7 linked regions of the Oryctolagus cuniculus genome follow. The protein of the gene in region 5 purifies or fractionates together with the protein of the main gene of each other region. This does not show direct contact. Links are inferred from orthologs where the notes say so. Each region holds a gene or a part of one and is shown on either strand. Other genes may lie near its edges. The genes, in order: UBXN10, BAG6, BTRC, RPL13, VCP, CAV1 and PSMA6.

Region 1 (4,203 bases), on a different chromosome or scaffold from region 5:
CAGCGCTACCCCAAGCCCAGAGCCGCTTCCCTGCGTTGGACAGAACCACCACCACGGAACCCATCCCGGCTGTTCCAGCCCCAAAAGAACTTCCCGATTGCTCAGTCACTTGGCACATGCTCACGTCCAGCCTGTGCCTGCGCCTCTAGCCTTGGCTGAAACTGTATTAAAAATAATCTGACTCGTGGCGCCTTATCAGCACACAGCCTATCTTCCCAGGCCAACTGCAAACGCCTTGCAGGAAGACCAGCGGGATTGGGTGCCTACGGCAACCCTCTGTCTGGGGCAGACCAGAGAGCAAATATTTTGCCAACAAGGCCAGACAATAAAGGCCTAGTTTTTAATCTTCTAGTAACACAATTGCTAGATTAATTTGTCTGCATACTCCAGGAGTCCAGAACACAACCGGCACACAGCAGTCCTGTGAGGAGCCTGCTGGAAACGGTCTTAATTTCAGTTGAGAAGAAAGGCTTCATTCATTAGGCTGGGGTTGAAGAGGGGATGGGAATGAAGGGGAGGAGACTGGCGGGAGGGGGAGAGAACCTTCCAGGTGCTGATGTGAGGCTGTGGCACAGAGACGGCTCTGAGCACCAAGCAGGGGCGGTCAACCTTGCGCCCGCCCAGTGGGCAGCCCCTTCCCATGGCACAGGGAGGAGGGGGGACACCAGCAGGCAGCTTCGTAGGTTCCATGGCAAAGCTGGGCAAGTGGGTTTCTGTCTTCTCTCTGCACCGAGCACTGAGGTTCTTCTCCAAGACCGGGGACAGGAGGGAGACTTCAGGAAGGAGGTCAAGGTTTGACAGCTTTTGAGCCGAAAGGAGAGAGAACTAGATGGGGGTGTGGGTGTGGCGGGTATTGCCAGGCTTGCTGTGTAGGGCGGACAGTCCGGCTGGCCTGCAGATCACCCCCCCACCCTCGTCTACTGCACCAGCGTTAGTGACCAGTCAAGACTGGGACGCGAAGCTAGCAGGACAAGGGAAGGGGCAGGCTTGCCAAGAGGAGGGCTAAGGTGTGGACCACCAGACTCTCAACAGACCAGGCGGCTGGAAGTCCCAAAGATGGCTCAAGCGCATGAGTTGTAGTTTGGACACCAGGGGAGGTGTGGGTGCCACTGACCACAAGGTCCAGCATGTGGCCTCAGGGGAGGGGTGGGAGGCATGGGCTGAAAGGGGTACCCTAAATGCAGATGCTGCAGCCGGCAGGAATCAACCAGTCCCACAGCCTCATTTCAAAACTGGAGACCCTGAGATGGAATCCTACCCTACCCCTTGTCCAGAGCTGTCTTTTCCTCAAACCCACCCGCCCCAGGGGATGGAAATAGATGCAGGCCAAGGAGGACCAGGAGAGGTGCTGGCTGTGACAGGGAGCCTGCCTGTGGCCCTTGCAGATCCAGCTCCCCCAACCCGAGCCGGCCAAGGTTCCGGTCAGGCGCTCAGGCCGGAAGCACGTGCCCCCACCCACCTCGCAGCGGTTGCCCGGGAGACGGGACTGTTTACCAGCGGGACCCAGCGGGGCGCAGGCCAGCGGCGGATGGAGCGGTGAGGTGAGTGCGGGCCGCCTGCCCCTAGGGGTTCCTGGCCTGGAAGAGGAGAGGAGAGGCCAGTTCCGGAGTTCACAGGTGTCCCCAGGGGGCAGCCTCCCCAGACCCGGCCCCAGGAGTGTCCCGGGACACAGGACAGTGGCTGCGCCCCAAGGGCAAAGCAAGCTGGGCCGGAGCTCACCGTGGCCGAGATGGGATGCTGCCCGGGCGCTGCAGAAGCCGAGGGACCCCCGGGGCTGTTGGGCCATGCCCGCCTGGCGGGGCTGTCCAGATGGGGCCACAGACCCAGGGAGAGGAAGGGACGGCCCAGCTCCGGAAGCAGATGGCGCCGCCCCCAGACCTGCGCTCAGTCACCCAGGTCCCTGCCCACGTCCCCGAGTTTTCCTTGCCCCACCCCCAGCCATTCCTTCTGTTCCTGGAGCTTAGTCCCTTCTCTGGCTGCCGGTACTTGGGAAGATTTCTCTCGGCTGCCTCTTACCTTGGGACTGGCCCGTTCCCTCCCCAGCCCCTTGGTCACTTGTGGCTCAGCGCTGGGGCCAGCAGAGGCCAGCGTGGTTTCTTATTCGTCTGGGCTGGGTCCCAAAGTTTTCCCTGAGCTGGGTCAACACCACACCCTGTTGATTCCTCTGCGTGTTTTGGGGACGCGAGCGGGGCTGGTTGGCAGGGGGAAGGTATTAACAGATAAACATTTAAAAGACCAATTCGAATGTATGCATCTTGGTGTACCACAGCAGATGGCGTGTGGGTGGCTATATTTTTACTGCCTTTGCTGTAGGGTTCCTGTCGGGCTGCGAATGGAACAGGTTGATCTGACCCTGCTGTGGTGGCCGGGGGCAGCCTCGGGACGCTGACCCCTGGCTTCGGCTTCTGCCTTCGAGTTTGCTTTGTGGTTTTTGGTGATGGATCTTGAGGGTCGAGCACCTGCCCTTCGGGCAGCTTCCTGGATACAGTTCTCTGTGTTTGTTTGCTGCCTCCTAGCAAGCCCGTGGGGTGCAGCGATTGTGTCTGAGCAAACAGGCCACTTGCCTGTGCGGCGGGCGGTTGATGGATGTGCCGCCACCTACTCCGCCACCGCCACCAGGATCTTCTCGGATCGCTCTGTGTTTGAGCCTGTGCCAGGCCTGGAGGTGGTGAAGTGAGCGGAGTGGGGGTGGTGAGGGCGGCCGGCAGAGGTCGGGTGTGAGTATGAAGGCAGCGGTTGGCCTGGATCCCCAGGCACCTGTCCCCCCCCCACCTCCTTGGGGGGACAGTCGAGGTAACAGATGGTCCCTGGGGAGGAGGCAGGGGGTTGCGAAAGCAGGTTGGATGGAACTGTTTCACCTGAGGGACACATTGGTCTGTAAATAACAGTGAGTGGGTTCCTGGGAATTAGTCATAACTGAGCTTGCTCTCCGCGATGGCTCACAGCCATGTTCTCCTAGGACCAGGGTGGCTCGAACATGACTCCCCCTGAGCACGGATAATTATACAGGAGCGAGAGGTACAGGAGTGCATGCACACACTCAAGTGTTGCTGTTAAAAATAACCCGGCAGAGGGGCCTGTGCGAACGCATGGTGGAAGTTGTAAGGAAGAGGTTTCTAAGTTACCAAACTTACTGACAGTTAAGGCTTCCCGAGGCGGGTGTGGGTGTTGGGAGCCAAGCCTGTGATGGATCTGGAAAAGCTGTGGCAAATTAATGGCCACTGCAGGCTGCAGAAGGGGGGCTGCTTTACCAGAGAGCTGAGCCGAAGCCAACGGCTGCCTACAGTTACGGCTGCCTCCTGCCATCCGGGGCCAAAGTTGCAGAGCCACTTCACTGGATCCCCAGGGGAGGGAGCCGTCCCTCACAGCTGATGGGCAAAGGCATTGGGTTAACATGGAGCTGGGCAGGCTTGTTGGGTGCCAGAGCTTTGCTAAGGAGCAGGCTCCTCTACCACCAGCAGCCAGATTGGGTGTGAAAGACGAGGGAGAGGTGGGAAATGAGAGTAGGGAAGGAATCGGGTTGTGAGTAGACGCGAGTAAATGAGGGACCGAGGGGAGCTTTGTGCGTAGATTTGGAGCTGAGCAGGCGGGACACTGCGTGGTGATGGGTTTCGGTTTTGGTGGGGAGGATGAGGGTAGTCCCTAAAATTAGGCCACGGTGGTACCATGATGCCTAGTTCAGGGTTGTGTGATACCAGGATCTTGGCAGAGGGGGCTTGGAGGTAGAATAGAGAAGTGGGCCACTCGGAGATGGTTTCTCGCTGGGTGCAGAGGACGTAGGACTAAATGTACAAGTCCTGGGTTCTGTGTCCGGCTCTGCCACCTGCTAGCTGTGTGGTCCGCCGCCGGGCACCCTGCCCTCCTGGAGAGTCAGCCCGTGTCCAGATCCCTCCGCAGAGCTGGCTGGGACAGGGTTTGACAAATGCACAGCCCGTGGTCCAAATCTGGGCCCGGCACCTGGCTGTGTATGGCTCATGAGACAAGAATAGCTCTTACATTTTTAAATCCTTGGGGAGGGGGGAACAAAAGAACGATATTCTGTGACATAGGAAAATTACATGAAATTCAAATTTGGAGGCTATAAATGAAGTTTTAGGGAGACAGCCACACCCCGTTCTCTGTGCTGGGTACGGCTGCTGCGGCACCGCAGGGAGTGGGCAGGCCATGCGGCCTGCGCAGCCACACACAGCCAGGCTCCGGCTT
Region 2 (3,500 bases), on a different chromosome or scaffold from region 5:
GCAGAAGAGAGAGACCGGAGAGAGCTGAGGGCTGGGCCCTTGGCCACTAGCTGACAGCACCCGCCACCATGGACTATGCCCCACCTCCCAGGCCTCCCCTTCCAGGTCATTACCTGCTGCCGCGGAGGCAACAGCTGCCACCATGGCCTGATGAGTGATCTGGTGGGCGACGGCGTGCATGAACTCAGGGGGCAGGGAGGGCAGCTGGATGAGGGTGGAGCCTGGGGGGCGGGTCTGATGTAACCTTGAACCTGGACCCCTTTAACCCACCCATTCAGCCCTACCCCTTCTCTACCCAGAGCTCAACCTGCTCTGATGCCCTCACTCTTACCCAGGGTCTGGCCATGACCAGGGGGTCCTAGGGGGCCAGTGGGAGCACTCGGAACACCACCGGTCTGTGTGCCAGAATCTGGGCAGGGAGACAGAGAGAGTGGCCCTGAGACAGGCGGGGCCAAGCCCTAACGGCATCCTCCTGAGATCAGCTGTCCTGCAGGCTCCCACTTCCCCAGCCGGAACACCTGCCTTTCTCTCCATCAAGACAGGGAGCAGGTGCTCCCTTCACCACACCAACAAATCACCAAGGACACAGCACCCATCCTGCCCCGCCCCACACACGACGCTTAAAGCTGCTGCTCTGGCTCCTCTGCCAGCGCTGCCAGCAGCAGCCTCTCCCTTCCCCAGCCTCGCACCTCATACCTCAGCGCCAAGCCTACCTCCTTCACCATGCTGCTCTTCTCTGCCAGCGACCGACTCTAACTCACCTTGAATGTTCATGTGCATCATGACTACGGGTTCCACGCTCTGGTGGGAAATTCGGATGACCCTCGGGTGACTGGTGGCTGGCTGGGGAGCTGGCCCTGGAGTGGAAGCCCCCTCCGTGGACGACTCGACAGTGGTAGAAGACGGAGCCAGGGACGAGGCCTGCCCGGGACCAGAGGAAGGTGCCTCTGCATTAGGAGCTGGGGGGGGACGAGTCCCATTCCCCGTCATGGTCACAGTAGTCCCCACATTAATCTGGAAGAAACAGGGGGACAGGCGGGAATAAGAAACACACAAACACCTAGAACAGATCACCTTATGAGATACCCCTGAAGTCTTCCTCATCTTCATCACTACGTTTCCAAAGTCTCCTCCCTTCCTAATCACTCCACCTACACCCTCCATTCTCTCCGACCCGCTCTTCGTGACGCACCTGGATGGGAATGGCTGCCTGCTGGAGCACCATGGGGGTAGTGTAGTGAGACATGGGTCGGACCACATGCAGGTGGCGTGGGGGTGCACAGGCCAGATTGCAACGCAGATCAGACAGAGCCACAAAGGTGTTGCCCAACAGTCGCAGACTCTCCCCCACCAAGTTAATCAACCGCTGGTCCTCTTCTCGGCCCTCATGCTGTGCTCCGGGGTCAAACACAGAAAAGCAGAAAGTATCAAGCTGGAATCCTCCTCATTAACTAAAGCAGTAAGCTGTGCCTTCTCAAAGTTATCATGCCCTCTAAACCTTTGCTTGTATCCTTGGAAACAAATGCTACTACACACCCATAAAGAACTCCCTGCTAAAATAAACTCTACAATGAACCAACAGGGCATCACCCATGAATCTCCTTACTTTATAAACTTCCTAAATCATTAACTCAGAAGTGCAAGAAAGAGAGAGCAGTAGATACCGCAAAAAGTCACCTTCCCCCGAAGGAAGGAAAGGACCATTTACACGTCTAAAGAGAATTTGGGTTTTTTTCTTGTTTTTGGGTTGTTTCTAGTTTTTTGGGTGTTTTGTTTTTAGTGCGAGGGGAGAGTGTTATCTGTATCTCAGTCTGCCCTGTTCTGCTTCCGGGGGGTTGGGGCCATGGAGGGACTCACGTTGTTGTTGTAGTCCGTGCTGCCGGCGGAGCCCAGGACCTCGTAGTAGCGCTGCAGGAAAGGCTGGAGGCGGCTCTCCAGCCGCTGCAGCTCCTGCAGCACCTCGACATACTCCGCGGGGGAAGGGTGGCTGCGGGCAACCCAAGGGCAGTGAGCCGAGGCTTTCTGCAACTCCTGACCTCCCAGGCACCAGGGATCGCAGCCGCCCGTCTGCCCTGGGCCTGATCCCTTCACAGACCAGCACAGTCTGTTCTTTACTCCTACCCATGGGAGGACTGGGGGAAGACACGGAATTGCTCCCGCCCTCCCCAGCACAAGAAACTGACTCTACGAGAGAGATGGGATCCGTGTGAACTCAGGGCAGAAAATTTTATCAGGCTCAGGACTTACCACCTGGATTCCCTTGCCCAGGAGAGAGCAGTACTTTTTGCTCAGCTATCAATCCTAACTTCACTTACCTACACTCAATGCTAACCCTACAGGTAAGGCCCAAGCAATGCTTCCCTTGCCACTGTACCTTTCCTGGTCCTCACACTTCATTCGGGATCTCCCAAACCCCTAGAGTTCCCTCCTCCTCTCACTTGGGTGTGTTTGTCTCCGTGGCAGGTGCTGGGCCCGTTGGGGCTGGGCCAGGCGGGGTGAGTTCTGGGTTCTGGACTGGGGTGCGCTCCTCCACTTCTTCTGCCTCCATGGGCTCCCGAGCTGGCGAGTCATTTTCAACCGCTTCTGCTGTCTGAGAGCTCAAGGTTCCCGGCTCCTGGGCCACAGGCGGCGTTTGTGGGGGCGGCTGACTGTGCTGTGCTTGGGGCCCTCCTCGACACTGAAGGTGGGGCGAGTCAGAATACCAAAAGCAGGATGAGACTACTGTAGACAACCACTCAGGCCAAAGGAGTCTGAATGGGGAGAATACCCTGACGAGGCGCCCTGAAGGCAGGGCTCTGGTCTGCCTCTAACAGCCAGGGCAGCACTGGGACAATCAGGCTGCACACAAGCATCTGTAGGCTTGGTGAGTGAATCACAGAGAGCAGAGGCTGCAGTTTCCTAATCTCTGCAACGAGAGAGAGAAAGGCCACAGGCTGCAACCGTAACACAAACTGACAAACTTAGAACATCAAGGAAAAAATTAAGAAGTGTGGGATCCTTCTTCAATTCAAAAGATATGCTGTGAGAGTTACCTGACAAGACTGAAACAAAGTCCCCAATACCAGCCACCAAATGATCTGGCAGGGTCAAAGCGGTCTCAAAAAGATACTTTTTCTACCCCAAAGAACAAAGATTGCAGAGAGAGGCGACCAGATTAGGAAGGCAGAGTCCTGTGGTTGTGGCCAGTTATGCCCCTGAAGAGACTCTAGCCAGACTTGCCCACTTACCTCCATCCGGGACAGTAAGGTCTGTATATCCCGGATCATGTGCTGGGCCATCACCAGCCGTACCCGGGGCTCACTCTACGATAAAAGAGGAATCATCAGGACAGGTCCGAGGTGAAGCCATGAGCTCCACTGCCTACTACACCAGGTCCCAGTCATCTCCTCAGCCAGGTCCTCCCCCACTTCATGGCCTCCTTCTCCCAGATCCCCTTCTCTGACCCTCCCAGGCCCCTCAATACCTGAATTGGGGCCTGTTCCATGTTGATGTGAACATCC
Region 3 (3,500 bases), on a different chromosome or scaffold from region 5:
GTGGCCGGCGCACCGTGCTGATCCGATGGCAGGAGCCAGGTACTTATCCTGGTCTCCCATGGGGTGCAGGGCCCAAGCACTTGGGCCATCCTCCACTGCACTCCCGGGCCACAGCAAAGAGCTGGCCTGGAAGAGGGGTAACCGGGACAGAATCCGGCACCCCGACTAGGACTAGAACCCGGTGTGCCGGCGCCGCAGGCGGAGGATTAGCCTAGTGAGCCGCAGCGCCGGCCCTTGCTGTATTTCTAAGGCTAGTGCAGGTACTTAAGCAAAATGGACTCTGAATGTCACCTAACTGTATACTTCGTTTCTTTATTATACACATTAAGAGTTTATTTTCTGGACCTAACTATATACTTAGTTTCTTTGTTATACATGTAAAGCATTTATTTTCTGTACCTAACTGTATACTTAGTTTCTTTGTTATACACCTTAAGAGTTTATTTTCTGGAAGGGTGTTGTGGTACAGACAGTTAAGCCACAGCTTGTGATACTGGCATTCCATATCAGAGTGCTAGGTGATCCAGCTGAAAAGCCCATGAGAGTATTTCAGGCATGGAAAGCCAAGAAACTCTGGCAAAAAAAAAAGACCTAAATGAAGGATCTCCGCGAGTGAGATCCCAGTGGAAAGACCTGACTATTATTCTTCTGATCCAGCTTTCTACTAATGTTCCTGAGAGGCAGCGGATGATGGCCCAAGAACCTGGGTTCTCTATGAGGGAGATCTAGATGGGAGTTCTGGGCTCCTGGCTTCAGCCTGGCCCAGCCCTAGCTGTTGCAGACATTCAGGAAGTGAACTTGAGGACAGAAGATCCCCTCCCCTCACTCTTGGTCACTCCGTCTCTCAAATAAATTTAAAAAAAGATTATTTATTTTAAAGTTCAAATTACAGAGAAAGATGGGGGGAGTGGGAGGCGGGGAGAGAGAGGTCTTCCATCCGCTGGTTCACTCCCCAGATGGCCACAATGGTAGGGCTGAGCCAAGCTGAAGCCAGGATCCCAGAACTCCCATCTGGATCTCCCTCTTGGTTGGCAAGAACCCAGGTTCTTGGGCCATCATCTGCTGTCTGCCAGGAGCATTCTCCGGTCTCCCACATGAGTGGCAGGGGCCCAACCACTTGGGCCATCTTCTGCTGCTTTTCCCAGGCCATTAGCAGGGAGCTGGATTGGAAATGGTGCAGCCAGGATACAAATCTGCACCCATATGAGATGACGGTGTCACAGATGGCAGCGTCACCCGCTATGCCACAATGCCACATCTTTTTTATACAATTATTACATAGACAAAGATCTCTTTGGTGTTTCATTCCCTTCATTGAGAGGAAAAATTTTTAAGTCTTTTTAATTGCTAGAATGATTGAAATCTCTGAAGCAGTTGGTATATACACACACACACACACACACACACACACACACATATATATATATCACGTGTTAATGAATTTCAAAGACAGAAAAAAAGGGGGATAGTTAGATTTTGGTGAAAATTCTAATCCAAAGCGCGTATTTTAAAAAGTATTCTCCATTCTTAACTGTTTTAGATCTCTTTATGATCCAGATAAACAACTTAAAAATTAAGTTGGAAGGGCAAAAATGAATATGCATATACCTATTATCAGTCTTTCTATCAGCTAAAACATTTATTATGTCACCTTTCTTAATGAATGACTCATGCTTGACTTCATATAGTACCATTCTAGAAACATACTTAGGAAGAAAATTATATAAAGAAAGAGGTTACCAGAAGTTCTAATGAATGGTTAAGAGAACAACAACAAAACTGGTGAAATCTCTTAGGCTCTAACTACATGAGGGTACTTCAAAGTTTACAGAAAACAGAATTAAAGTTAAGTGTATCTTGGTAAAAATTTTTTTTAGATCCATGCATATGAGTATAATAACCTTAGTGAATTCAAAATGAAGTAAGAAATCACGAGAAAACCCAAATCTTAAGAAGAAATAATGATTTATACTAATTTTTTTATTCTTTCTGACAGCTAGAGTTCTTATTTTAGTTGGACATAAAATATACTCTTTTGTTACAAAGGTAAAAAAAATGGAGGAATGGGCTAAAGGCAAGAAATCTGAAAAAACAAAATGCTCACTTGTCCTGGGTTTTTACAGAGGAAAGCTTGATCTGATGGCTTCCATGTGATTCAAACTCATTTGCTTGCCTTATAAATTACTTATCAGCCCTTCTGCAAGATACTAATTTCTGCCTAGAGAAACAGGATGGCTGGTCAGTGTTCTATTATTTTTTGCCAAGCAATATTAACACATTGTGATGTCATTTTATGAGTGACGGGTCAGAAGAAAAACCGCTGAGTGCATGAGCAACTATTTTCTATTTTTAGCTGCAAATCAGTAAAATCACTGTAGTAAGTGGTAAGTGATTGGTTCACTGTTCCCAACAACCTTCCAGTGGCAAGACGGCTGGGCCCTAACACTCTCTGATTGTTAAGCAAGTTAAAAGGCTCACCACCCTCTTCGTTCTGCCAGGCCTCTCCACAGAGAATCTGTCCTGACCATTCTCTCGATGAGTTTCTTCCATAACATGCCATCAGACGTCACTCGGTACCATTCCTTGCACACAAGTTCAGCAGCACATAACGATTTGGCATCCAGGTATGACAGAATGTTCTCAGCAATATGATCCAAACCCCGTGCTTTCAGTGGGGAGGGGAGAAGGCAAAGAGAAAGAATAAAGGGGATAGTGAATGATTTTTCACAAAAGGTCCTTTAAAACAGAATAGCATTTGTTCTATTATGAAGGCATATCATTGTCCCCAGCGTAGTCCAGTTGCTCTTTCAAACAGAGGCTTGGGTAAAATGAGTGTCAATAATTTTTCCATAAGGTTACAGAAATGAACAGTATTTTCCATCTTCCTTTAGATAAGGAAGTTAAAGCTAACAACCAGCAACCCCTCCAAGACATTAAAAATAAAAAGGATTCCAGAAAACAATTCACATCTATCTATATGGATTTCAGCACTAGGGGATGTTCTGTGGATGGCATCTCAAACTCTGATTCAGACCCCCCCAAATCTCTATATTAGGTCCATTTCTCATTCTGTTTCTATTACTGCTGCAATTCCAAAGCTATTCAGTAGAAGAAATATCCTTTAAATGTACTGGGGGAGAAACACTAAGGCAGAATGTGCTGGGTTATAGAATTTGGGGCATGCAGAAAGGAGGAGAAGAAGGAAATACAGAATGGTATAGGAATACCCCAAGAGGAAAGAAAGTGAGGTATGCTTCATTTCAGATGTTTCAAAAAAGAAAAAAAAAAAAAAAAAGCTGTGTGAGAATAGCTGCTGCTATAAAACCTAAATGACAGTTGACCAAAAGTGGAAAAAAAAATCCAGACCAATAGACAACTTGGTAAGCATCTCAGAGGATATTCTGCAGGATGTGCAGAGGAAAAGAGTAAAGAGTAGATCTTGGCTTGGGTAAACCTGACAGCCACTCAAATCTGCACTGGGGTCCCAGTGGAAAAGCTCC
Region 4 (4,145 bases), on a different chromosome or scaffold from region 5:
CTAAGCATTACCCCTGACTCCCACGCAGCAGCGGGTCACAGCGCCCCAAATCCACCAGGTGCACCCTGGGTACCTGTAACAGTGGCAGGTGATGGGCATCACACGCATCATCATTTCTAGATGAGTTCAGGTAACAACGCTGTCTCCCTGCAGGAGCCATGGCCACAGCAACTGTGACAGCAGGCTGACGTCCAGGCAGGGCGAGGCTGGGCGTGTGTGAGCACCTCCTGGGGACCAACGCAGGAGCCACAGGGCCACAAAGCACCTGAGCCGAGGAGCTGAGCCTCAGGCTCCCCCTAGGGGCCGGGCAGGGACGCTCCATGCTCACAGGCGCAGATCACACTGAGGCAGGCTCGAGGGACCACCCATCCTGGAGACTGCGGTGGTCTCACAGGGCAGCCAAAGGCACAGCCCACTGGTCTGGGCTGCCTTTCACGACCCCACACCCAGACAGGACCTGGCGCACTCAGGCCACTGCTTACTGGAGACACACCACAGGAGACCGGGCAGACTGGATTTATTGTGCAAGTCCCCAGCGAGGCCTCATTTTTTCTTCTCAACGTCCTGTTCCGCAGCTTCCTTGGCTCTTTTTGCCCGGATGCCGAAGAGGCGGGCATTGGCGCGGGCCATGCGGAGACTGGCAAAGGCCTTGAAGTTCTTCTCCTCCTCTGTAATAACTCTGGCTTTCTCCTTCTTGAAGACCTGGAAAAGGAGATGAGGTCAGACCCAGTCCCACCAAGTGGACAGCAGGGGCCAAAACTGATGGAGACAGAGGCAGATGAGGATCAGACCAGAGTCCTTGCTGGGATTCAGAGCCTCACCCTGACTGACTCAGCATGGCGAGGAGGGGCCAGGCATCTCCACAGGGAACTCCCCCCCCCAGGCTCAGGAAGGGGTCCCCAGGGTTCAGACTCAGGGGTGATCTTCCCTGCCGCCCTGGGAGCGCAGTGTGCATGGTGCGCCTCTACTCACGTTCCGGATGGGCATGACTGGTCCTGTCAGCTGGGTGGCCAACTTCAGTTCTTCAGCCTGTGTGTGACGAGAACCCGGTCAGCCGCCTTGTGCAAAAGACCCCATCACACACCCCAGCACCCTGTGCTGCCGCATGGTTGTGGGTTGTTCAACTCTGCTGCTAAGACAGGCCCAAGTGGAGCTTGTCTTGTCCTACACGTGAGCCACCTGCCAGCAAACCCAGGATGGAGACAGCAATCCCACCCCCGGTCCAACCCCCAGGAAGGCCACATAGAGGGACACGGCCAACCCCCACTACAGGATTTTCCAGAAACACAGCAGAGGTTCAAGCGGTTCCCCAGAAGCTACGTCAAGCCCCTCCATCCCCCACATTAGTCCATGGCTTCCGCGAGGGGCAAGCATCGCCCGAGGGCAGGCATGGAGGAGTGCGACCGCTGCCCTGCCCCGCACACGCTGACCCGCCACTCACCGAGCTGTCGCCTTTCTTGGGGGCCGAGGGCTTCCGCGGGAAGAGGACCAGCTTGGAGCGGTACTCCTTCAGCCGCTGCACGTTGGCCTGCAGGGACTCGGTGGACTTGTTCCGCCGCCGCGGGTCCACGGAGATGCCGATAGTCCGCGCCACCTTCTTGTGGATGCCGGCCACCTGCCCCAGACACGCACGCATGGAGCCCCGCGGAGCCCCGCGCCGCCAGGCCCCCGGGGCCCGGCTCGGCGCTCAGAGGTAAAAGGGTTCGAACGCGCTTTCATCAGGCGATGCAGCGATTCCGGAGACTGTCATCACGCGCCCGAGCCCGGGCCGCCCCGCCCGCCGCGCCCCGCGCCCCACTCACCCGCAGCTCCTCCAGGCTGAAGCCGCGGCCGGCGCGCACCTTCGTGTGGTACCGCACGGTCGGGCAGCGCACGATGGGCCGGATGGGCCCCGCCGCGGGCCGCGGGGCGATGCGGCGGGCTCGCGCTTGCCGGGCCTTGCGCCTGCGAGGGAGGGCGGCGGCGGCGTCACGGCGGGCGCGCGGGCGGCGCCCCGGCCCCGACCCCGACCCCGGCCCCGACCCCGGCCCCGGCCCCGGCCCCGGCCCCCGGCCCCCACCCCGGCCCCGGCCCCGACCCCGGCCCCGGCCCCGGCCCCGGCCCCGGCCCGGCCCCGACCCCGGCCCCGGCCCCGGCCCCGGCCCCGACCCCGGCCCCGGCCCCGGCCCCGGCCCCGACCCCGGCCCCGGCCCCGGCCCGGCCCCGACCCCGGCCCCCGACCCCGACCCCGACCCGGCCCGGCCCGGCGCTCACCTGCGGATCTTGCGCGCCGGCTGGTTGAACCAGGTGGCCACGCGCCGCTGCCAGTCCTTGTGGAAGTGCGGCTTCAGGATCATGCCATTCCGGCTGGGCGCCATGGCTGCGTGCTGCCGCGAGGGGCGAGGGCCGAGCGTGAGGCGCCGGGGCCGGGCCGCCGCCCGACCGCCCGCGCCCCGGCCCCGGCCGCCCGAACGCGCCCTCCCCGCCCAGCCGCTGGGCCCGGCCGGACGCCGTCTGAGGCGCTAGCTGCCTCCATGGCCGCGGCGGCGGCGGCACCAGGCCGATGGCGGTGGATGGAGCCCGATACAGCCGGAGGCCGTTCGATGGCGACGGGGAAAGGACACTCACCTCCTCCGCGCGAGAACAGAGAAGCGGAAAGGACGCGGCGCCGCGAAGCCCCCTGGGATGGTGGTAGGCCCGGCCAATCAGAGGCGCCGCAGCGTCCTGACCAATCAGAGCCAGGCGATGCGGAAGTGACGTAGGGCCGGCGCCGCCGCGTCCCGGAGAGTTCCGCCTCCACGGCCCGGCGTCCGAGGCGGAGGGGAGCTGGGTCGGGGCGCGTTCGGCCAGCGCGGTCGCGAAGCCGTGGACGCCCCCGGGCCTCGCTCCCCGCCGCGCCCCTCTCCCCTCCGCGGAGCGCTTTCCGGGGGCGTCGCCCTCACCCCGCGAGTGCCGCAGCCCCCGGTGCGCGCCAGGCGGCCTCCGGCGCGTTCTTGCCGCCGCCCCGCGGCGTGGAGTGGAGCGGAGCGCCGGGAAAGGGCGCGCAGGGCGCTCGGGAGTTCGAACCTGGCCCTGCGGTAGGCGGTGGCCCCTCCGTGTGAGTGAGAGGCCGAGAGACCGCCCGTCCGCTGGCCCGCGCCACATGGCCGCGGCGCGAGCTGGGCTGAGGAGGAGCCGGGACCCGCCGCCCGGTTCTGGGTGCCGGGCGCGTCTTGGTGGAGCGGCTGCAGGAGTCACGTCAGGGCCGCAGTCGAGGCAGAGTGCTCGGCCCGCTTCCAGGTGGCCTGGGGGAGCCAGCGTGGCCGAGGGCCTGCCGCGGCCTTCACGGACACCGTGAGGAGAAAACCTGCCATCTGCCCTTCGCGCGGCTTGCGCGCACCCACGGGAGACGCTGGCCGCATGAATGCTGGCCGGGCGCCCACTCACCCCTCACACCCGCGGGAGACGCTGGCCGCATGAATGCTGGCCGGGCGCCCACTCACCCCTCACACCCACGGGAGACGCTGGCCACACACCCACTCACCCCGCGCGCCCACGGGAGACGCTGGCCGCATGAATGCTGGCGGGGCGCCCACTCACCCCGCGCACCCACGGGAGACACTGGCCGGGCGCCCACTCACCCCTCACACCCGCGGGAGACGCTGGCCGGGCGTCCACTCACCCCTCACACCCGCGGGAGACGCTGGCCGCATGAATGCTGGCCGGGTGCCCACTCACCCCTCACACCCACGGGAGACGCTGGCCGCGCACCCACGGGAGACACTGGCCGGGCGCCCACTCACGCCTCACACTCACGGGAGACGCTGGCCGCGCACCCACTCACCCCGCGCGCCCACGGGAGACGCTGGCCGGGCGCCCACTCACGCCTCACACTCACGGGAGACGCTGGCCGCGCACCCACTCACCCCGCGCACCCACGGGAGACACTGGCCGGGCACCCACTCACGCCTCACACTCAAGGGAGACGCTGGCCGCGCACCCACTCACCCCGCGCGCCCACGGGAGACGCTGGCCGCATGAATGCTGGCCCTCTCCGCGTCATCCCCAGACCCTCTCCATGCTCCGGGCACAGACCCTGCCCACCTCCAACACCTCCCACGCCAGCTCCGACTTGTCTTTAGGCAAAGCTGCCCTAACCCGCACGTCCACCTCGCCTAGCTGGTTCT
Region 5 (3,500 bases):
TGGTCACTCTAGACAGGATACAGGATACAAGGACCCTTGTGCCCTACCACTGCAAAAAAACTTCAAGGAATCCTCATAATCAAATCAGGTGACTCAGATGAAGGATAGAGATTAAACTCAATAGATCTATAATCTCTCTATGAGCAAGGAAAGGGTGAAGGAAGCTGGAGTCCTTACCAAACCGTCGCAGTGCCGGGTCAATGCTGTTGGGTCTGTTGGTTGCTGCCATAACTATCACGTGTGCCCTCTGCTTTAGTCCATCCATAAGGGTCAACAATTGTGATACAATACGCCGCTCCACCTCCCCGTGAGTCTGGCAGGACAAATGTCTGGTCAGAAGCAATGTTAGGACCTTTCAACCTCCCACCATTCCCTCGGGTAAACTCCTACTTTCTCTCTTTTGGGAGCAATGGCATCCAGTTCATCAATGAAGATGATGGCAGGAGCATTCTTCTCCGCTTCCTCAAAGGCTTTACGAAGATTGCTCTCAGACTCACCAGCCAACTTGCTCATGATCTCAGGACCTGAAAGAAAACAAAATGAAGACAATGATAAAATTACAACCTTTCCCAGTCCCAAAATAAATCAGTTACCTTATCTGCCCTAGGATAGGTCCTGGATGAGAAGATACTAACTTCCGTCTACCTTCTCACCAATGCCAGCTATCACCCAGGACAGCCACAAAGCTGGGGTAGAGAAACCAAGCACATTTTTTTCAAAGTGTAAAGGTCTCTGGCAAGAGCAGGAGACATCACACAAGCTGGATCTCTACAGCTTAACATTCTCTAAGAGACAGGTGGTGTTGGCCCATCTTCCCTAAGCCTCTCAAATAGGCATCATACCTTTATTTTATTTTTTTTTTTAATTCCAACTTGCTCCCCCTTAAATATCTTGGGGCTGGCATTGTGGAGTAGCAGGTAAAGCTATCACCATGCCACACAAGCATCCCATATGGGAACCAGTTCACGTCTCAGCAGCTCTACTGCCAATCTAGCTCCCTGCTAAAGGCCTAGAAAAGCAGTGGAAGATGGCCTAAATGCCACCCACATAGGAGACCCAGATGAAGTTCCTGACTCCTGGCTTCAGCCTGGCTCAGACTGGGCCCTTGTGGTCATTTGGGGAGTAAACCAGCGGATGGAAGATCTCTGTCTCTCCCTCTCTCTGTAACTCTTTTAAATACATAAATATTCCTTACAAAAATGTACACAACTTTTTCTAGGTTGAGGGGAAAAGACAAAAAGTATCAGTATAAAATATCTCCCACTTGGCCGGCGCCACGGCTCACTAGGCTAATCCTCCGCCTGCGGCGCTGGCACACCGGGTTCTAGTCCCAGTCGGGGCGCCGGATTCTGTCCCGGTTGCCCCTCTTCCAGGCCAGCTCTCTGCTGTGGCCAGGGAGTGCAGTGGAGGATGGCCCAAGTGCTTGGGCCCTGCACCCCATGGGAGACCAGAAGCACCTGGCTCCTGCCATCGGATCAGTGCAGTGCGCCAGCCACAGCGTGCCGGCCGCGGCGGCCATTGGAGGGTGAACCAGCGGCAAAAGGAAGACCTTTCTCTCTGTCTCTCTCTCTCACTGTCCACTCTGCCTGTCAAAAAAAAAAAAAAAAAAAAAATCTCCCACTTGTTGCTGACCTGTCTATAATGTACCCCAGCAAAAGATGCTAAAGTGTGCATGAGAGCATGGCTGCAAATGGATGTTATCAATGAGCTGTTCAGGCCAGGGCTAGTTCTAGACAGACACAAGACAAATCAAATCTCTTACCATTGATCAGGAAGAAGAAGGCCCCAGTTTCATTTGCCACAGCTCGGGCAATCAGGGTCTTCCCTGTTCCAGGAGGTCCATAGAGCAGGATTCCCCGAGGAGGCTGGGGACCAACATAAGAGCAATTAGAATTAGACTCCTGACTTCTCAACGCCACTCACCTCAAACTGGCTTGACTAGGACTCTAGAAAGGGTGAGAATTAGAATTCAATTCTGGGAGCCGGCACTGTGGCGCAGCAGGTTAACGCCCTGGCCTGCAGTGCCAGCATCCCATATGGGTGCCGGTTCAAGTCCCAGCTGATCCACTTCTGATCCAGCTCTCTGCTGTGGCCTGGGATAGCAGTGGAAAACGGCCCAAGTCGTTGGGCCCCTGCACCTGCATGGGAGACCCGGAGGAAGCTCCTGGCTTCCGATTGGCACAGCTCTGGCCGTTGCAGCTAATTGGGGAGTGAACCATCGGATGGAAGACCTCTCTCTCTCTGTGTAATTCTGACTTTCAAATAAATAAATAAATCTTAAAAAAAAAAAAAAAAGAATTCAATTCTGACACCATTAAGAATGAGCCTTTCATAGAAAGGTAAGACATTGTGGCAAAAAACGTTCTACATGAAGGATCTCTGTTACTGAGACCCCAGCAGAAAGAAGTGGCCATCAAAGAAGGATGTACTCTACTCTAAAGGGAGAACTTTCACTTTGCTTGTGGCCTTGTCCAAATATTGACAAAGTTTGTGAACTCAAAAGGCTTCCATAGCCTAGGTAGCTCATGTCAAGAGCCTCGGGTAGTCAATGACATCATACATAAGCACTGTTAATAGTTAAATCAACAACAAGAGTCACTGTGCACTAACTTCCCATGCAGGACCTCTGTCCTCAGTGAGTTGTATATCAGAGTTAACTGTAAAACTAGTTCTCAGTTTGTATGTGTGTGTGCAAATTGTTGAAATATTCTGTGTACAAAGTTAATTGAAAATCAATCTTAACGGAGAATGGGACTGGCAAGGGGAGAGCGAGGAGGAGGAGGAGGAGGAGGAGGAGGGGTGGGAAGGTGGGTATGGTGGATGGTGGGAAGAATAACTATATCCCTAAAGTTGTACAGTTGTACTTATGAAATTTGTACAAAAAAAAAAAAAAAAAAAAAAAAAAAAAAAAAAAGCCTTGGGGGCTGGCGCTATGGTGCAGTGGGTTAAGCCATTGTCTGCATATGGGTACTGGTTCAAGTCCCAGCTGCTCTACTTCTGATCCAGCTCCCTACTGACACACCTGGGAAGGCAACAGAAGATCGCCCAAGCAGTTTGGACCCTTGCACCCATGTGGGAGACCTGGATAAAGCTCCTAGATCTGGCTTCATCCTTGCCCAGCCCTGCCCACTGCAGCCATTTAGGGAGTGAACCAGCGGATGAAGATCTCTCTCTGCAATTCTGACTTTCAAATACATAAATAATAAACTTCAAAAAAAAAAAAAAGAACAATAAGCCTTTGGTACAGCAATTAAGACACCCCTTGGGATGCCTATATCCCATTTCAAAGTGCATGGGCTGGAATCCCAGCTCCACTTCCAGCAACCTGCTAATGTGCACCCTTGGAGGCAGCAGTACTTGGAGGCTCAACTACTTGGGTGGCTGACACTCTCGTGGGAGACCTAGATTGAGTTCTAGGTTTCTGGCTTTAGCCTGGCCCAACCTTAGATGATGCATTTGGGGAGTTAATCAGAAATGTAAAATCTTTCTGCCTTTCAAAT
Region 6 (3,998 bases), on a different chromosome or scaffold from region 5:
GGAAGCCAGGTGGGTGGGAACTGCTCACCTGCCTGGGGTCTTGCAGAACTGGGTCTTCACACACTCATTCTGGGAGCTGGGAGTCTCCTTGGCCTTCCCCAATCCTCAAGGAGAACCCCCTGCCAAGGATGGCTCAAGCCCATGATTTCCCAACCCAGATGGCTTCAGATAATAAATTCCTCCAACTAAATTTACCAAAAGGGTCAAAGTTGAATAACATAATAATAATTAAAAAAAAAACTGACAGAGTCAGACTTAAATGTATGCAATGATCCAGTTGGTCCATCTGCTTTTAATCTCACCAAGCACATCCTGAAAGTAGAACAAGGATATCCAACCTGGCGTAGGGAGACATTACAGAAGCAGCTTGCTACACCAACCAGAGGAGTGTAGAAGGGAAATCAAGAGGGGACACATTATTTTTGGCTTTGTAAATCTGCTCAGTTTCCTGGTTGTATCCTGCGTCCTCAGCATTTGCACTGATTTAATTATTTTAAGGAAAACCACTTCTGATGATTTTAGCCAGGGAAACATAACGGTTCTGTGTTCTGACTCACCCTGGCACAAGACCCACCTCAATTATCTGACTGCCTTAATTCCCTGTATAACGGGACCTGTCACTGGACCTTCAGCCTGAGAGTGGAACACAAGCCTCCCAAGGAGTGCCGGCTGGTCTCTTGCTGAGGAGGTTCATTTGCCAGGCTGCAAAGTACAAACTCCTACAGAACTCGCGTTAGCTAAAGTGCAGCTGAACCCACCAGCAGCAGGGGAGAAGGGCGAGGTGACATTTCTGGCCACAGCAGGAGCCCAGGCACATGGAGCCCCCGGGACACCGTGCGTGGCGTCGCAGTCCCTGGAGGGTGCCCAGCGCCTGGCCCGAGGGGTGCTGTGTGGCTGCGACGGCGACGGCGCCCCCTCCCGCGACGGCCCTGGCTCACCCGGCGCCTCAGCCTACCTTGACCACGTCGTCGTTGAGATGCTTGGGGTCGCGGTTGACCAGGTCGATTTCCTTGGTGTGCGCGTCGTACACTTGCTTCTCGTTCACCTCGTCGGCCATGGCCTTGTTGTTGGGCTTGTAGATGTTGCCCTGTTCCCGGATGGGAACAGTGTAGAGATGTCCCTGGGGAGGGTGACAACCGCAGTGGGAAGAATAATTCAAAAAGGAAAGCAAGCGGTCAGAAGAAGGCAGCCTAGCGACCAGGGGCACTTGGAGTTCGAAATCCAACTGACCTCGTCGACAGCGGCCGCTCAGCGCACAGAAAACTCCTGCGCGCCGCCAGCTTTTTAAGAGGATCGCGGAGACGACACCACACCCCTCGGTACCAGGCAGGGAGCGCCGGCCTCCCCCGCCCGCCGCCAGGGGTCAGGGCAAACCCCGCGGCGCGGCCAGCCCGGGCCCCCGCCCCGCGCACGCCTGGCCCGCGTCGCCCCGCGGGGACCACTGCGGGGAGGGGGCCGATCTAAGGCTGCGCTCCGGCCCCTATACCCAGAGGCCTGCACCTGCTCCGTTTCTCCGCCCCGGACCCCTGTCACCTCCCGGCCCCATAACCCCTTCCTGCTTAATCCTGAAGATACGGCGGGAACCTCCAGAGCCACGGAACGTCCCCGTTTTTTTGCTGCTGCTCCGCGTCCCTCTCGCACCTGCCCGCGTCCCCTGCACCCCTTTCCTTGGCGTTCGCTTGTCCCTCCTCGGATCCCCCCGACCTGCGTGGGGAGGTGGTTGTCACAAGCTCCCACGCCCCCCCCCCCCACCTCTGGTCCGCACCAAGTGCCAGATCCCCCTGGAAGTAGTTGTCACCTGCACCACCGCCCGGACCCACCACCCTCAGGTCGTTCCCAGGCTGCCGGCGGGTGGCGGAGCAACCGCTGCGTTTGGGAAAACCGGGTGTCCGCACCCAGCGCGGGTGGTGGTTGGGGTTAGGAGGAGGCCCACCCCTCGCGGAGCACCCCCGACAGGCGCCGAGAGGCGGCAAGGGTCCTTGAGACGGCCCAAGAACTTTGGAGAGAGCAAACACACGCGCGCCGCCGCGGGGCAGCTGCGCCAGGCTCCTGGCGGGGACTCGCGGGGACTGTCCCCAGGACTGCGGATAAAGGACGCCCGCCCCCACCCCAGCCTCCAGCGCTTCAGCTCCGTGGAGGGTCTCGCAACAAGGGCGCACGCATGTAGAATACGTGCCCCTAAGGGGCAAACCAAACTTGAGGATTGCGACCCTTGTCCCCCCCCCCCCCATCCCACCCTCTATCTCCCGGGCTCCTCTGGCCTCCTCCCCAGCAGGAACCTAGAAAACATTCCTGGCTTCTCTTCACCTCCCCGCCCAGGCCCATTCCTCCAAGGTGCCAACGCGACAGGAGTGCTCCCAAGTGGAGACGGGGCCGGGACAAGGAGGAAAGCAGCCGGAATATTTGTGGAGTGGGAGCGGGTAGGGGCAGGCACTCCCCGCGCGCCCCGGGCGGCGCGTCCCCACCATAGCCTACCTCGGAGTCTACGTATTTGCCCCCAGACATGCTGGCGCGTGGCTGCACGGAGCCTCTGAGGAGGTTTCCCCGGGCTGTGATTTAAGAGAACTGAGGAAGGAAGATCTTGTATTGTACCGGGGGAGGAAAAAAAAAAAAAAAGGCGCTGGCGGGGGGGCGGGCGGTGGCTGGGAGGGAGCCTCCTGGCCGCGCGCCAGGGGCTTGTTGGGCGCGCAGTTGGCCGGGACGTGCGCGGCGCCGGGTCCAGGCACATCCCCGAGGTTCAGGCAGCGGCGGGCGGGGAGTGCCAGGGGGAACCGAGGGCGAGCGCGCCAGCCTTGCCCCCGGGCTCCGCTGCTTGGGCAGAGACCTGCCACCTAGGGCCACGTTTGCCCAGCCCGATGCACCCGCCAGAGGCGTCCTGGGAAGAGCGCGTGTTTTTGCTGTGCATCACCCGGCAGGGGTGGAGCGAGCCCAGGAGCAGGCAGGGACAGATGCCCGGTATGGGCAACCCAGGCGTCAGAAAGATGTCTGCGCGGTCGCAAGTCCAGTTTGCCCCCACTGCTCACGTTCGACCACGGCCTCGGAAGCCCGGAGTCGCGGAAGAACGGATGAAAACCGGCTCCGGTTTAGGGACTTTTCACATTCAGACGCAAGGAGAGACTGCGCGGTGCCTGCCTGTGTGTGGCATACTTTTGGTGACATCTTGTCAGTGTGGATGGAAACTCGGAGAAGCAGGCGCGCAGAAGTGCACGTTTCCCACTCGCTCCTGAAAAGTCTCCCGGACGGTTTGAAATGAGAAACTGAGATGTTTAACTTTTACATAATCGTACTACCGATCTTTTCCGGAACAAAAGAAATTCACGCAAACAGGTCATACCTTATTTATATCGTACATTAAATATTTACAATTACTGAAAAAAATTGAGTTGAGCTTTAGGTTTATGACTGGAGAGTATATTTTTTAAATGTGCTTGGCTATGAGGGGAAAATTAATTTTGACTAATGGAACAGACTTAAAAAATGTGTTTGCAATCAAAGTATTTTTTTGGTTCCTGAATTTGGAGCTTCTTTCTTTATCGAATCATAAAGCAGCACAAGGTGGATTGAACAGTAATCATGTTACTACAGTAAATCATTTTATTACATACGTGGCTATGATAGGTCAGGAAATTCACAATCCAAAAATGGAAAAGACCCGAATGGAGTCTGAAGTCAAATTATTTGAAACTAACTGCAAGGCTGGGGGTACACCTGAAGGGGCACAGACTAAATTTAAAAACTGGCTGTTTAGAAAGGGGAATCGGGTAGGGGGAGAAGAGGAGAGGGCACTGGAGGATGGAGCTCTGAAAGAGGTGATCTTGTGCTTGGAGAGGAGATTCAAATAGAAGCTGGGAAGGGCAGGCTACTGTTGATAGCCAAAAAGCAACACCTTTTGAAAAACAAAGATATCTGTTTCAGCTAGGACAGGCCTGGAAATGTCACACAGTAATGGATGCTGGTATGCCTGAAATTGTGCTACCTCCATCCTTAAGAGATTCAGA
Region 7 (4,073 bases), on a different chromosome or scaffold from region 5:
AGGAATGAACTGCGAGAAGATCCCAACTCAGCAAAAAGGGACAGAATGGAGGCAGGAGGAACAAGTAACCTAGGGGGAGGAAAAAGGGAGAGAAGATTGAGGATAGGAAAGTCATTGGAAAGGGCAAACACTGCTGAAGAGCCTAATAAAAGGTGGTGTTTCAGTTTCTGGTTAAGTCTGCTGTGAGTGAATGTGGGAAGGTTGTGACTCAGGACTTGGAATCATGAGTGTTGTTTTAGTATTAGTTTTTAAAATAATCTTAGAGCTCATGGAGGCCTTTAGTACTCACATAATGGTCTGAGGTACTGGCATCACGGGGGATGCCAGACCTGAATCGGAAGTGGCACCGGAGGGCCCAGCCTCGTGGCACAAAAGGTTAAGCCACTTCTTTTGATGCTGTCATCCCATATTGGCTGCTCTGCTTCTGATCCAGCTCCCTGCTAGTGTGCTTGGGGAGGCAGTGGAAGATGGCCCAAGGACCTGGGACTCTGACAACCCTGTGGGACTCCAGAATGCAGTTCCAGACACCTGGCTTCAGCCTGGCTTGACTTGGCTGTTGTGGGCCTTTGGGAAGTGAACCTGCAGATGGAATATGTCTCTTTCTCTGTCTCCCTGTCACTCTGCTTTTCAAATAAATAAATAAATAAATAAATCTTAAAAAAATAAAAAAGGAAGTAGCATTTGAAGTGAGATTCCCAGATAATTCTATGCCTATTAAATTTGGAGGAGTACTGAGACAGGCCATCTTCCTCATTTCACAGAAAAGGAAACGGAAGCCCCAGATTTGCTGTTTCTCAAGATCAGGTTGTAAAGACCAGGAGAGTGCCTTCAGGAAATGACTAGGAATTCAATGTCAGACGACAAAGAGGACCGTCAAATGGGAGTGAAATTTCAATAGTTACAGTTTCCTGACTAATAGCACAACTATGGTATATCAGAGTAGAAAAGTAGAATGGTCTATGCTTCTCAAAATTAGGTCTGGAATTGAAAAGGTAGACTTCACAGGAGGTTAAGGGAATACAAGAATTTGCTAACTGCTACAGGAGCTACCCTTTCATACGGACGCCTTGGGGAGTGGGTGAGGTAGGAAGGAAGGCAGGTAAAGCCAGATGGGGGTGAGCAATAGAGTCTGTGTCCCTCAGGAATGGATAGGCCAAAGCGCAGGCAAAGGAACTGGTGGCTGGGCTGAAGGAATGGGGCAAGTAAGAAGACTGGTCAAAATGAGGAACTTGCAAGTTTGAAATTCTGAAACCAGAATTTTTAAAGTAATATTTAAATAATCAAAATATCTAGTTTTCCCATCTCATAGGGACCAAAAAATCCTCAGTGTAAGGTTAGAAAATAGTTGAGACCAGGTAGGAGAAATAAGTTCATGGAAAATATGTATTATGAAAAAATTTCAGGGGCCTAGCACTGTGGTACAGTGGGTTAAGCCCTGCCTGAAATGCCAGCATCCCATATGGGCACCTATTCAAGTCCTGGCTTCTCCACTCCCAATCCAGCTCCCTGCTAATGCACCTGGGAAAGCAGTGGACGATGGCCCAAGTACTTGGGCCCCTGTACCAACATGGGAGACCCGGATCGAGTTCCAGTCTTCTGGCTTTAGCCTGGCCCAGCATGGCTGTTGTGGCCATTTGGGGAACGAAGCAGAGGATGGAAGATGGCTCTCTCTCTGACTCTCCTTCTAACTCTGCCTTTCAAATAAATAAATCTTAAAAAAAATAAAATAAAATAAAAAAAAAACTATGCATGGATTTCAAAATATTTTTGCACTAAAACAAACATCTTTTAATTCCATTTTTCCACAGATGTTTTAAGGTACTCTCAGATAGCCTACTGACATCTGAAAGGCACACAGTGTTCAATAGTGATTTCCTCAAATAAACTTTCTTTGGCGTGTCCATAAACAAAAGGAATCACATGACTTGCTTTAAAAAATAAAAAAAAAAAAACTCTTTATCTAGGTAAAGCAGCAATTAATTTTTCCTTACACTTTCTCTTCAAAAACATGGTCTGAGCAGAGTTTATTTCTTTAGGAGCAGAGATCAGAGGGCTGGACTTGGAAAAGACCCATTTCATCAAGGATTTGACCACGCCTGCCAGAACAGGACTAAGTGCCAAAGGACATGACCCTCAATTTGAGTCAATAGCTATTATCAGGGTGACAGCTTCCTGGAACACAAATTTCCTCCTGAATACAAGTAAGCCTTGAGTGGAAGGTTTTGAGTGTACGGCTATGTGAGGCAAGTAATATTTTCGGTAGGTATATAGTAATGCCCTAACTTAAGTGGGGGGGAAAAGTTGCTTCTTTTTGTGAATTTACATTTTTACAATTCCATAATAGAGCACATGAGGGAGTGGTAGAAGACTGTAAGTACAAGGAAAAGTTTTCATTTTCTGTCAGTTGTAAAAGAAGCGTGTTTCAAAAGAGTTCACGGGGAATGATCCTTTTTTTAAAAATTGGAATATACGTACAGGAAAGTGGGCATATATAGTGTAACAACCTGATAGCAATATACTCCTCAGCTATGCAGCAGAGAACAGAAGAAAACACAGCTGTGGATTTTAGGGCATGGTCACTGAAAAGAGGAACACAAGAACCATGTAGTTCAAAGAACTAGCAACACAGCACACCTCAGGTTCCCAGTCTGGCGGAGGGACTTACTTTTCTGAAGACTTGCCATAGCCCTCTCCAGCGGCACCTGTCTCATGGCACTGGCAACTCTAGCCCATCCTGTCAGGACACCGTTCTGCTCCAGCAGAGCCAAATGGACAGAACTGTCAGGGAATTCCATTGGCACCTCTCAGGACACTGACATTCCGTTCTGATGCAGTCACAGAAAGCACAAGAAACCTCCCTAAATAATGACCTTTATTTAGATGTGAACTGAACTCAAGACTTAATAATGTTCTAGTCTGGCTGAGACAGATGAGGCAATCTGATCTGGCCTCTTTTTAAAATGAATGTATTCCTCTAACATATTAGAAATTGAAGCCAAATATTTGCTTCTTGGGCTGGATTTTAAATAGCTCCAAGGAGATGAGTTGGGAACTAATTTTAATGTGGTTGAAACGAACTCTCTACATCCTCATTTTTGTCAGCAGCTACCAAAAAACCTTCACATTATTGCTATTTATAACAAATTATCATGGTTATCTTAACAACTCAATCTATTCGACAAGAGTATACTGCTGAGAGCCCTCTGGTAGCAAAACAAACTATCTTTAGCTGCCATTAGTGACTAGATAATTGTCTTCCTGCTTATTTCAATTCTCAGTTGAGAGCGAGTTGTGTCTGCAGTAGAGTCCCTGGAAGCATTCATTAGATCAAATACTGCCAACAAAGAGCAAACTTGGGTAGAGAGAACTTCAGGAAATCTTCAAACACCATAAAATGGAGATGACAAGAGAAAATGCATTTTTCAAGATTTATGACATTCACTCATCTGTGTTCTTGTCTCGTATTTTGTTTCATCCCATTCTTTCCTTTTCTTTCTAAGATTTATTTATTTATTTATTTGGAAAGCACAGTTAGAGAGAGAGAGAGAGAAAGGGAGCAACACACAGAGAGATTCCACTTACAGGTTTATTCCCCAAATGGCTGCAATGGCCAGTGCTGGGCCAGGTTGAAGCCAGGAGCCAGGATCTTCTTCAGCATCTCCCACATGGATCCAGGGACCCAAGCACGTGAGCCATCCTCTACAGCCTTCCCAGATCATCAGCAGGGAGCTGGATCGGAAGTAGAGCAGCTGGGACTCAAACTGGTGCCCATATGGGATGCCAACATTGCAGGTGGTGACTTTGCTATGCCACAGCACCAGCCGTCTTGCTATTTTCTATGGCTTCCTCTTAAGAAGACCCCTGAAAGGAATTCCCTGCGCTTATGTAATCAGACAAGCAGAGCGCTGGGCACTCGCTGGGATGGGGCCGGGAGAAGCGGCTCTTCTCTCCTTTCTGCCCTTTCCAAGTGCTTTGGACTACCCTTTTTATTCACGTTCTCCTCCTGCCTCCCATGGGGCTGCTGGGCTTCAGGGCTATATAGCAGCCCCATTTCTCTCTGCCCCTCATACTTC

Evidence for each region.
Region 1: the proteins of VCP (region 5) and UBXN10 purify together in Homo sapiens (affinity purification with western blotting; 3 studies listed by BioGRID and IntAct, with this or other methods). This does not show direct contact. The link is inferred for Oryctolagus cuniculus from reciprocal best matches to the Homo sapiens genes VCP and UBXN10.
Region 2: the proteins of VCP (region 5) and BAG6 purify together in Homo sapiens (affinity purification with western blotting; 4 studies listed by BioGRID, with this or other methods). This does not show direct contact. The link is inferred for Oryctolagus cuniculus from reciprocal best matches to the Homo sapiens genes VCP and BAG6.
Region 3: the proteins of VCP (region 5) and BTRC purify together in Homo sapiens (affinity purification with western blotting; 4 studies listed by BioGRID). This does not show direct contact. The link is inferred for Oryctolagus cuniculus from reciprocal best matches to the Homo sapiens genes VCP and BTRC.
Region 4: the proteins of VCP (region 5) and RPL13 purify together in Homo sapiens (affinity purification with mass spectrometry, with the first as the bait; 3 studies listed by BioGRID). This does not show direct contact. The link is inferred for Oryctolagus cuniculus from reciprocal best matches to the Homo sapiens genes VCP and RPL13.
Region 6: the proteins of VCP (region 5) and CAV1 purify together in Homo sapiens (affinity purification with mass spectrometry; 5 studies listed by BioGRID and IntAct, with this or other methods). This does not show direct contact. The link is inferred for Oryctolagus cuniculus from reciprocal best matches to the Homo sapiens genes VCP and CAV1.
Region 7: the proteins of VCP (region 5) and PSMA6 fractionate together in Homo sapiens (co-fractionation; 3 studies listed by BioGRID, with this or other methods). This does not show direct contact. The link is inferred for Oryctolagus cuniculus from reciprocal best matches to the Homo sapiens genes VCP and PSMA6.

What each region holds. Positions count from the first base shown.
Region 1 is NC_091438.1:150,508,855-150,513,057, reverse strand, and holds the start of UBXN10 (UBX domain-containing protein 10), read left to right. Parts: upstream 1-1,403; 5' UTR 1,404-1,541; intron 1,542-1,719; coding exon of another isoform or gene 1,720-1,786; exon of another isoform or gene 1,787-1,877; intron 1,878-4,203. Other genes in the region: PLA2G2C (putative inactive group IIC secretory phospholipase A2), read right to left, coding at 1,720-1,786. UniProt on the Homo sapiens protein: VCP/p97-binding protein required for ciliogenesis. Acts as a tethering factor that facilitates recruitment of VCP/p97 to the intraflagellar transport complex B (IFT-B) in cilia.
Region 2 is NC_091436.1:138,966,708-138,970,207, reverse strand, and holds part of BAG6 (large proline-rich protein BAG6), read right to left. Parts: coding exon 3,464-3,500; intron 3,303-3,463; coding exon 3,228-3,302; intron 2,678-3,227; coding exon 2,439-2,677; intron 1,988-2,438; coding exon 1,858-1,987; intron 1,391-1,857; coding exon 1,193-1,390; intron 1,015-1,192; coding exon 762-1,014; intron 410-761; coding exon 332-409; intron 222-331; coding exon 114-221; intron 1-113. UniProt on the Homo sapiens protein: ATP-independent molecular chaperone preventing the aggregation of misfolded and hydrophobic patches-containing proteins.
Region 3 is NC_091446.1:28,392,199-28,395,698, forward strand, and holds part of BTRC (F-box/WD repeat-containing protein 1A), read right to left. Parts: intron 2,666-3,500; coding exon 2,479-2,665; intron 1-2,478. UniProt on the Homo sapiens protein: Substrate recognition component of a SCF (SKP1-CUL1-F-box protein) E3 ubiquitin-protein ligase complex which mediates the ubiquitination and subsequent proteasomal degradation of target proteins. Recognizes and binds to phosphorylated target proteins.
Region 4 is NC_091449.1:69,233,504-69,237,648, reverse strand, and holds RPL13 (large ribosomal subunit protein eL13), read right to left. Parts: upstream 2,742-4,145; 5' UTR 2,608-2,741; intron 2,367-2,607; 5' UTR 2,358-2,366; coding exon 2,254-2,357; intron 1,945-2,253; coding exon 1,803-1,944; intron 1,753-1,802; exon of another isoform or gene 1,672-1,752; intron 1,616-1,671; coding exon 1,442-1,615; intron 1,030-1,441; coding exon 973-1,029; intron 703-972; coding exon 544-702; 3' UTR 501-543; downstream 1-500. UniProt on the Homo sapiens protein: Component of the ribosome, a large ribonucleoprotein complex responsible for the synthesis of proteins in the cell.
Region 5 is NC_091432.1:198,025,251-198,028,750, forward strand, and holds part of VCP (transitional endoplasmic reticulum ATPase), read right to left. Parts: intron 1,866-3,500; coding exon 1,763-1,865; intron 525-1,762; coding exon 391-524; intron 314-390; coding exon 178-313; intron 1-177. UniProt on the Homo sapiens protein: Necessary for the fragmentation of Golgi stacks during mitosis and for their reassembly after mitosis. Involved in the formation of the transitional endoplasmic reticulum (tER).
Region 6 is NC_091434.1:151,971,465-151,975,462, reverse strand, and holds the start of CAV1 (caveolin-1), read right to left. Parts: upstream 2,801-3,998; 5' UTR 2,506-2,800; coding exon 2,476-2,505; intron 2,063-2,475; exon of another isoform or gene 1,799-2,062; intron 1,378-1,798; exon of another isoform or gene 1,231-1,377; intron 1,121-1,230; coding exon 956-1,120; intron 1-955. UniProt on the Homo sapiens protein: May act as a scaffolding protein within caveolar membranes. Forms a stable heterooligomeric complex with CAV2 that targets to lipid rafts and drives caveolae formation. Mediates the recruitment of CAVIN proteins (CAVIN1/2/3/4) to the caveolae.
Region 7 is NC_091443.1:40,254,564-40,258,636, forward strand, and holds the start of PSMA6 (proteasome subunit alpha type-6), read right to left. Parts: upstream 2,801-4,073; 5' UTR 2,796-2,800; coding exon 2,666-2,795; intron 1-2,665. UniProt on the Homo sapiens protein: Component of the 20S core proteasome complex involved in the proteolytic degradation of most intracellular proteins. This complex plays numerous essential roles within the cell by associating with different regulatory particles.